Daphnia pulex: one gene and its partner. The protein of the gene in region 2 interacts with the protein of the main gene of each other region in a pairwise test. Links are inferred from orthologs where the notes say so. Each region holds a gene or a part of one and is shown on either strand. Other genes may lie near its edges.

The links.
Region 1: the proteins of ubiquitin conjugation factor E4 B-like (region 2) and E3 ubiquitin-protein ligase CHIP-like interact in a two-hybrid assay, tested with the Caenorhabditis elegans proteins (2 studies listed by BioGRID). The link is inferred for Daphnia pulex from reciprocal best matches to the Caenorhabditis elegans genes ufd-2 and chn-1.

What each region holds. Positions count from the first base shown.
Region 1 is NC_060019.1:9,014,837-9,018,676, forward strand, and holds E3 ubiquitin-protein ligase CHIP-like, read right to left. Parts: upstream 2,321-3,840; 5' UTR 2,125-2,320; coding exon 2,035-2,124; intron 1,953-2,034; coding exon 1,826-1,952; intron 1,766-1,825; coding exon 1,694-1,765; intron 1,622-1,693; coding exon 1,494-1,621; intron 1,410-1,493; coding exon 1,296-1,409; intron 1,229-1,295; coding exon 1,172-1,228; intron 1,094-1,171; coding exon 977-1,093; intron 920-976; coding exon 794-919; 3' UTR 574-793; downstream 1-573. Other genes in the region: CD82 antigen-like, read left to right, coding at 2,883-2,957, 3,151-3,366, 3,490-3,825.
Region 2 is NC_060017.1:3,665,520-3,669,447, reverse strand, and holds the start of ubiquitin conjugation factor E4 B-like, read left to right. Parts: upstream 1-1,133; 5' UTR 1,134-1,251; coding exon 1,252-1,284; intron 1,285-1,354; coding exon 1,355-2,554; intron 2,555-2,624; coding exon 2,625-3,164; intron 3,165-3,231; coding exon 3,232-3,428; intron 3,429-3,511; coding exon 3,512-3,701; intron 3,702-3,760; coding exon 3,761-3,925; intron 3,926-3,928. UniProt on the Caenorhabditis elegans protein: Acts as an E4 ubiquitin ligase mediating the assembly of polyubiquitin chains on substrates ubiquitinated by another E3 ubiquitin ligase. The elongation of preexisting ubiquitin chains preferentially targets ubiquitin 'Lys-29' and 'Lys-48' residues.

The DNA of each region.
Region 1 (3,840 bases), on a different chromosome or scaffold from region 2:
AACAAGTGCTAGGCTATGCATTAAATTGAAAAACTTCAACTTGAGACCTAGGAACAGGAACAGTAACGTTTCCGCCCTTGTATGCACACTGCAAGATACACAACAGACTTCTCTCTAGAGTGCTGATAAGATAATAACTGTAGTTGACGACGTGGCAAACACAATTTACCCATGGGACGTTTATTATAATTTAAGTGAATATCGGTCCAGTCCCGTGCTGTACCAGGATCGATAGTACCGTCCGTTCAAGTCGACCCCCCTGATTAATGACCAACTTAACCAACTCTGATACAATTGTCCTTGGCCACATCCACAACGAACCACGCCAAGCTCAATTAAGTGCTTAATGAAAGGAAACGTACCAATAGAGTTCGGCTGCAAATCATCAATTGCCTTTGGCTAAAGTAATAAAATCAATCACCCACAAACAATTGTCAGAGGAGACGATAATTTAGTCTAAAGAATATAACCTATTGAAAGATTGGAGCAATCCTACAGGTGTAGAATCTGCTCAAGGCGAACTCTGATCCCAATAAAATCAAATTTAATAGGAGGTTCATAATCAGGTATATATAAAATTTCCAGCATCGTCTATTGAAGTACAACAGCAATGTGCAATCAATAGCGAAAGACTGTATAGCAACATTTACTTCCTGATTATCATCCAACCCGATAGGAAACATCACAACTGGGGCTCGGCGATTCAAATCATAATATATATCGATTTCATTTAATACAATGCGGCGGAGTTTTTAAGAGAATCAAAATCAATGAATGATCCTTAAAAAAGTGGTTAGTAGTGCTGAGCCCATTCGTTTTCGGTCAGGTACGAGTCGACAACTTCTTTCATGGAGAAATTTGGAATCAATTGGTCTTTGGTCAATTTAACTCGCGTCACAGGGTCAAAATGTCCAACTCGCTGCGTAAAAACAAATCTTTTGGCTAATATCTACTAGGCAATTTTGAATTCACTTACCTGCAAATGTTCTTCGATGTCTTTCCTATCGTAGGTTATTCCTGAAGGAGTGATGACTGGATCTCTCATGATCTCGAAAGAGATTTTGCCACATAAATAGTCTGGAACTTCACGTTTCTAACCGACACAATTACAAAGACAATTTCTTAATGGTATAAGACGTACTGAAACACACAGTTGAATAATTTATAGTACCATTCTTCGGTCATCGACGGTTGCGAAAAGGTCATTCAATTCAGCCAGGTAGCGATCCTACCGATTTTAATCAAGTATTATTAGTCTACTAACGAAACAAGAAAAATACTCTAGATATGCTCACGGTGACGTTCTCTATGTTCGAAATTTCGTTTTCCACTGAACTGTATTCTTTGTCTTGACTAACCAAATCGATTTGTCGATCTCGATCCTCTCGAATGAGCCTATTTATATACATCTATCAAAATAAAATCCAAGTTTCAAATGAATCATAATTTTTTGCAAAGTGGAGTGGACAAAGAGAATGTTATTAACAGACTACCTGTAGTTCGATTTCTTGTGAAATTCTTTTCTCCTCCTGCTTTGTAAAATGATGCTTCTTTGCCAGTCTTAACTGACTGGTAATATCATCCCCAAAATTAAGTTTCTGATCCATCGAAAGATCACGGGCTAATAACAAGCAAATTTCAATAATCAGATTTTATGTGTTCAAAATTTATGTTAAGTTGGGGAAATGAGTACCCCTTTGAAGATGTTTTATTGCTTCCTCATAGCATTCTTTTTCCATTAAAGCTTGGCCCAGAAAGAAATGCCCTAAACATAATAGCAATATATAGCATTTTCAGAGTATTTTGAAGAATTTATACTAAAAACCTTTCACCCAAGTGTTGTCTAACTCTAAAGCACTTTTGCAATCTTGCACTACTGCATCCCAACGGCCAAGCTTGAGAGAGCAGAGAGCTCTATTTGTGTAGTATTGTGGAACAGAACCATTTTTAAGCTAAAGAAAACAATTACAATTACTTTGATTTACGCGTTGCAAAACAAAATAATTTATGCTTAATTTAATTAAAGAAATTTACAATGGCTTTGGAATAGCATGAAATTGCTTCATCGAAACGTCGAGCTAAAAACAACTTATTCCCCTGATCTTTGTGTTCTCTGTCACTCATTTTCTTCTCTAAAAAAGAAACTATTGGGTGCTGTAGGATCGAGAAAGAATTTAAAAAAGCAACACTATCACATAAAATAGATACGAAAACGTAATTGCACAATTCCAATTAACGTCAGATATTCTGACACTAAAGCGGAAAACAACAAAAACGCTTTTAATAAATAAACTATAAAATGCGGATGAAAGTAAAGTAAAGTGCGGATTGTGGAAAGACCTTTTCACCGCCATCTACCATCCAATAAAAATAGATTTTAATCTATGATGAATACGCGCAGTAGACGCCATAACGATTCCTATCTAATTTGAAAATTAGGATAAGAAAATTAATTAGAGCTGTTAAAGCAGAGAATTTATTGAAATAAGCAAAAGAAAAGGTTATTTGGAGTGATATACATCCGACCTGGATACACGCGCGTACAATTTTGACTGCGCACTGCTGGGCTTTAACCTAGAGAACAGTAGGCGATCCGCAGTGGTTATTCTGGTTATTTACTTATTTAATCGTGTGACCATCTCAGGAGTTAAAACTTCGAAGCGTGAGACCAACTGGTGGAGTCAACGTGGTTTTATGGATTACGATATTAATGATAGACGTCACTTTTTTATACCGTTTGGGTTCCGGCTGTATTGCTTGTTTGCAAATGTATTTTCTTTTACTCGGATTTTGGGTTTCCTGTTAGTGGTACAGTAAGTTTCCTTATCACACGGGCTTTCATTCCGATTTGAAATAGTAACTGGAAAAACAGTCAAAGGGAAATGACGGACGAGGTTACGTTCCGTTCCCACAAGATTTTACGATGGAGTTTTTTGTGCCTCAACTTGTTAATCCTGGTAAACATATTATTCTATTACAATGTAATTGTAGATTTGTTAAAATATTAACAGTTATATTATTCCAACGTGAGTTTACTAAAGAATTTAACTGAAGATGGTTGAAATTATCGAATTAAATGTTGCGTTTGGAAGACTGGGTTTGTTATTGCTTTTCATAAAATATGATACTGACATATTCTTTGAAATGCAGTTGAGCGGCATTGTATTAATCTCCTTGTCGGCGTCGTCACTTGTACAACGTCAAGAATTTGCAAAAGGATCAGACAAACAGAAATTTTTGGTGGTAAACGACAAATATATGGTTATGAACATCGTGGTTGCAATTGCCGTCAGCGGTCTACTCATATTTCTTAGCCTATTCGGGATGTGTGGTGCCTTTGGCGAGAAAAAATGCCTGATATCTTGCGTAAGCTCGTGTTTGTATAAAAAAAAAAAAACAAAAAAAGATTTTAGAGTAATTTTCTTTCTCCTTTGACTAAATGGAATATTTCGCTACGATGAATGATTGCATCGCACTGCTCGCCTTCAGTACCTGGTTTTCGTATTACTAAATCTTGGATTCGTAATTGTGGGAGGAATAATGGTTCTTCGCTTTTCCAAAATAACCGAAAATTCTCTGAAGGAAAACATTTCTAATTATCACCACAATAAAACTTCAAAAATTCGTGTGGATGAAATCCGAAGCAAGCTAAATTGCTGCGGAATTCACGCCTTTTACAATTTGACCTATCTCCAAGCTGAAAAAGAAACCGTGACAACTTCATGCTGTGTACCTGAACACAGAGAAGCTTGTCACGATATGCTAAAAGGACAAACAATCCAATTATGGAAATGGGAAGAAATCAGTCAGAAAATCTATACCGAGGTTAGTTGTTAACAA
Region 2 (3,928 bases):
GAAAGGCAGGTAGGCTACATAGTGTATACATAACCTAGTTTTTCGATCCGATATTCCAAATATTAAATTCTATATTGTAAATGCGGTTGATTAAATATTATTAGTTTTTGGTTATACATTTGGCAGTAAGGTCCATTTCCTTTATAAAACAGTACTGATCTGTAAAATCTCTAAATCCATCCAGAAGGGAACAAGAATATATAATAGCAAGGTATAGTAGCCTATCCAGAAAATTCAGATTGTGGAATATGATTAAGTAATAGCGGTAGATAATACCCAGAAAACTGCATTGGTATTAGGTAAGGATATGCATTTTTTCCTGTGTACAAAGGATAATTAGGTTATAGGCGACTGGGACCTTGAAGGAGCTTGGCGTACCGGGTACGACCGGGTACGTGGTTACAGATGAACGGTTTTCCCCTAAAAGTCCCCCCTCCCTTCTCCGTATTTGGGTTAGTTAACTCTATATATTGTTGGCTCTCTACTCTACCTGGAAGAGTAGGGGAATAAATTACTGAAAATAAAGTTACAAGCAACGAAAATTCAATAAATTGCTAATAGCAACTTATCTTCCACTCGTTTCACGTAACCCACAGAGAATTATCAGCTAACAATATGGACTTCTTTAGACCTACGAGTATTTAACTATTTATACCCAACATTGAAGATCGAGGAAATCGCTGAAAAATGCTCACAACAGAAATACATTCAAATTTGTATCCGACTGTTTCGACGTTATATTCGACCCAACTGAATTAAAAAAAAAGAGATCTGCTATTCGTGTACCTTATTTACAACAGTTTGACATTTTTTTAGGGGGGGGGGGAAACAGAACTAGGAAATGCAACGACTTAGCTGGTCCAACAATTCTCCCTCAACTCGAGGTAAATGTGAGACAGACTTCCAGAGTTAGTTACCCAACCATATTTTCCACGAGGTTAAATCTATTCCATAAAAGGTTTTCTGTGTGTCCGACAGACCGACACTACGATAAACAATGTGAACTCGACTCATGTCTCATGTTATTGCTAGACAATTTTTCTTTTTTTAAGCAGTTGTTTGTATTTTACGGTAGATGTCGGGTCACAGCTTTTAAAGTTGACCGCTAGATCCTTCTATGCTCAGTTCAGTTTACTCAGGCTAAACTGTGTTAGTGTTGTGGAAACTGGAAACCGTAGTCCTTTATTCTCTCGAATCAGCTGGTCATACAAATGACAAGGCAAGATTTGTGATACTTTGAGCACTGTGTTTATGTCCATCATGAGTGAACTAACTCAAGAAGAGGTAGAATTATCTGAAATTAATAAAAAAGGTTGTCAAATTGTAGCTTATTACACGAAATTCATTTATACAGATACGCCAGCGAAGGTTGGCCCGCCTTGCAGTGATGTCCACTGGAGTTGCTCCAATGAGCAACCCTAGTTTGTCTTCAGCCTCAACTTCATCACAACCAAGCAATGCTATTTTCATGGAAAATGTGTCAATGCTATACACTCCCTCCACTCCTGTTAAAAATTATCCAATGGATATTGATGGTACAACTCCACGAAAAATTGAAGCTATGGACATGGACGGTGCAACACCACGCAAGATTGAAGCCATGGACACTGATGAACCAGCTACCGGAACTCCATCTAAAGTCCAATCCAATGCTGATACTTTGTGTACTGAGGACTTCCTTAACACAACTGTTGCAAAAATTCTTTGTGTGTCACGAAAACCAGAGAAGAGTTGTATTGTTTTATCTGCCATCTGGCCAAACAATCCTCTTGTGACAAGTGTAAGCTTTGTGAACAATCACTATATTTTGGAGACAGTTGGCGACATGATAATGGAATCCTTAGATATTATAATGTATTCTCTGGATAAGCCAAACCAGTTATTTCAAGAAGGCTCTGAAAGCAACTGTCTTCAGTATTTGATTGACTGTTATACAAGGATGGAAGAACATATGAAGAAATATTCCAAGAAGTGCAGTATTTCATCAGTAAAGGAGCTCCTGGTGAAAATCAAGACTGAATTGTGTGCTGCTCTTGCCCTATTATTAGAAGGTTTTCTAACAGAGCCAATCAAGAAGGATTATTACAACATCCTGTATGAACACCTGAAGAGACACAGTTTACCATCTGAATTTTTCTATGAATTGGTTCATCATCTTGAGTCAGATTATGTCCGGTTTACCAAAATATTCTCACCATTACTTCTAGTTATACGGAAGGAATCTCAACAGAGCTCAGTCTCCGATAGCTCGCATACCGCAGCCCTACAAGTCCTCTCGGATTTGTGCGAGTGTCGAACAGGCGTCAACTCCTCTACTCGTCCGTTTTGTAATCTCATGATTAAGATGGGGAATTGGCTTGTAGAGCCACTTACAGAGGCAACGGGTCGTGAGTTTGCGAAGTTTACTTTCCTTGGGCCGTTCCTGTGTACATCACTTTTCGCAGAAGATGACGTACGAATCGCCGATAAACTGAAAACTACCGGGAATGAATCACGACCAATCGTTTCTAGCCTTCAACAAGAGGTGGAATTGACACGCAATCTTCTTCACAAGGTAAATTTTTGTCTTCATTAGTTAAGACACTGGTGAGTGGTGACGTATTTTGATTTCTTTCTTCTTTTAGGTGTTTTATGCGCTTTTGGCAAACAGTGGATCGCGTGAGGCCACATTACAGTGGATCGCAGTTGCACTCAAACGAAACGAAAAGCGTTCAATGATCAATGTTGAATCGCGACTTGTTGCTGGTGACGGATTTTTTCTCAATCTTGCTGCTGTTATGCATCAGCTCTCACTCAAAATCAAGCTTGACAAAGTGGATGTATTTTATCCGTTCCACCCACAGAGTCGTATTAGCAATAGTGTGGCCAATGAAACCAAAATTAGAGTGAATTCACAAGAAAGCCAGCAGTGGGTCGAGCAACTGAATCAGCCAGATTCTGGACACATTTGGCAGGAGTGTAAATTCCCTACTGAATGTTGGTTTATGACACTGCATGCCCAGCATTTAGCATATTTGCCGGCCGCAAGACGACATCAGCGGAGGATGCGTGCTCTTAAAGACTATCAAAAACTCGTTGACGAAATGCAAAATTCAGAAGCAGAATGGAGTCAAACTCCAGCAGCCCGCCGAAATAGGGAGCTTATTGCTATGTGGCAAGAACAGGTTGGTCAAAAATGTTTGATTTTCGATTGCCAACACTTAATTAATTTTTTAAATTTGTAATTACTAGGTGAAAAAGCTTTTATTAAGCAAACCTTGCGCCGAAGCTGCGTTGATGGACGAAAAACTCATCAGCAATTACATGCATTTTAACAGCATGGCCGCAGAATTGGAAATGCAGACCCTTTGTCCAGAAATTATGTTTCCCACGAATAACTTTACTCTTCCATCTAAAGCTACACCTCTTTTTGCAAACTACCCAGAGTGGTAATATAAAAAATTTCATCCGGGTTTTTCTCAAAATGAAAGCTATTTTTATAGTATGCTAATTCTTTTATCTATTCCTGTAGGTACGTCGAAGATATAGCCGAATTTCTTTTACTTGCCCTGCAGCACATGCCTCAGATTGTTGCTCGTACGGTGGATCAGATGGTGATGACCTGGTTGCTCACGCTGGTCTGTTCAGCTCATTGTTTCAACAATCCTTATCTGGTGGCTAAGTTAGTTGAAGTGCTCTTCATGATGAATCCGTCAGTCCAGGTATACGAAATTTTACTTTTAACTATTTCCTTGTTATTCTTATTTCTTTATCCCTTTAGCCTCGTACGGAAACGTTACATGAGCGATTGCTGACTCATAAAATTTCGCAATCAGCGTTACCCCCTTCTCTGATGAAGTTCTACGCAGATGTTGAGTCCACCGGAGCAGCATCAGAGTTTTATGACAAATTTACAATCCGATTTCACATCAGCATTATACTCAAGGTT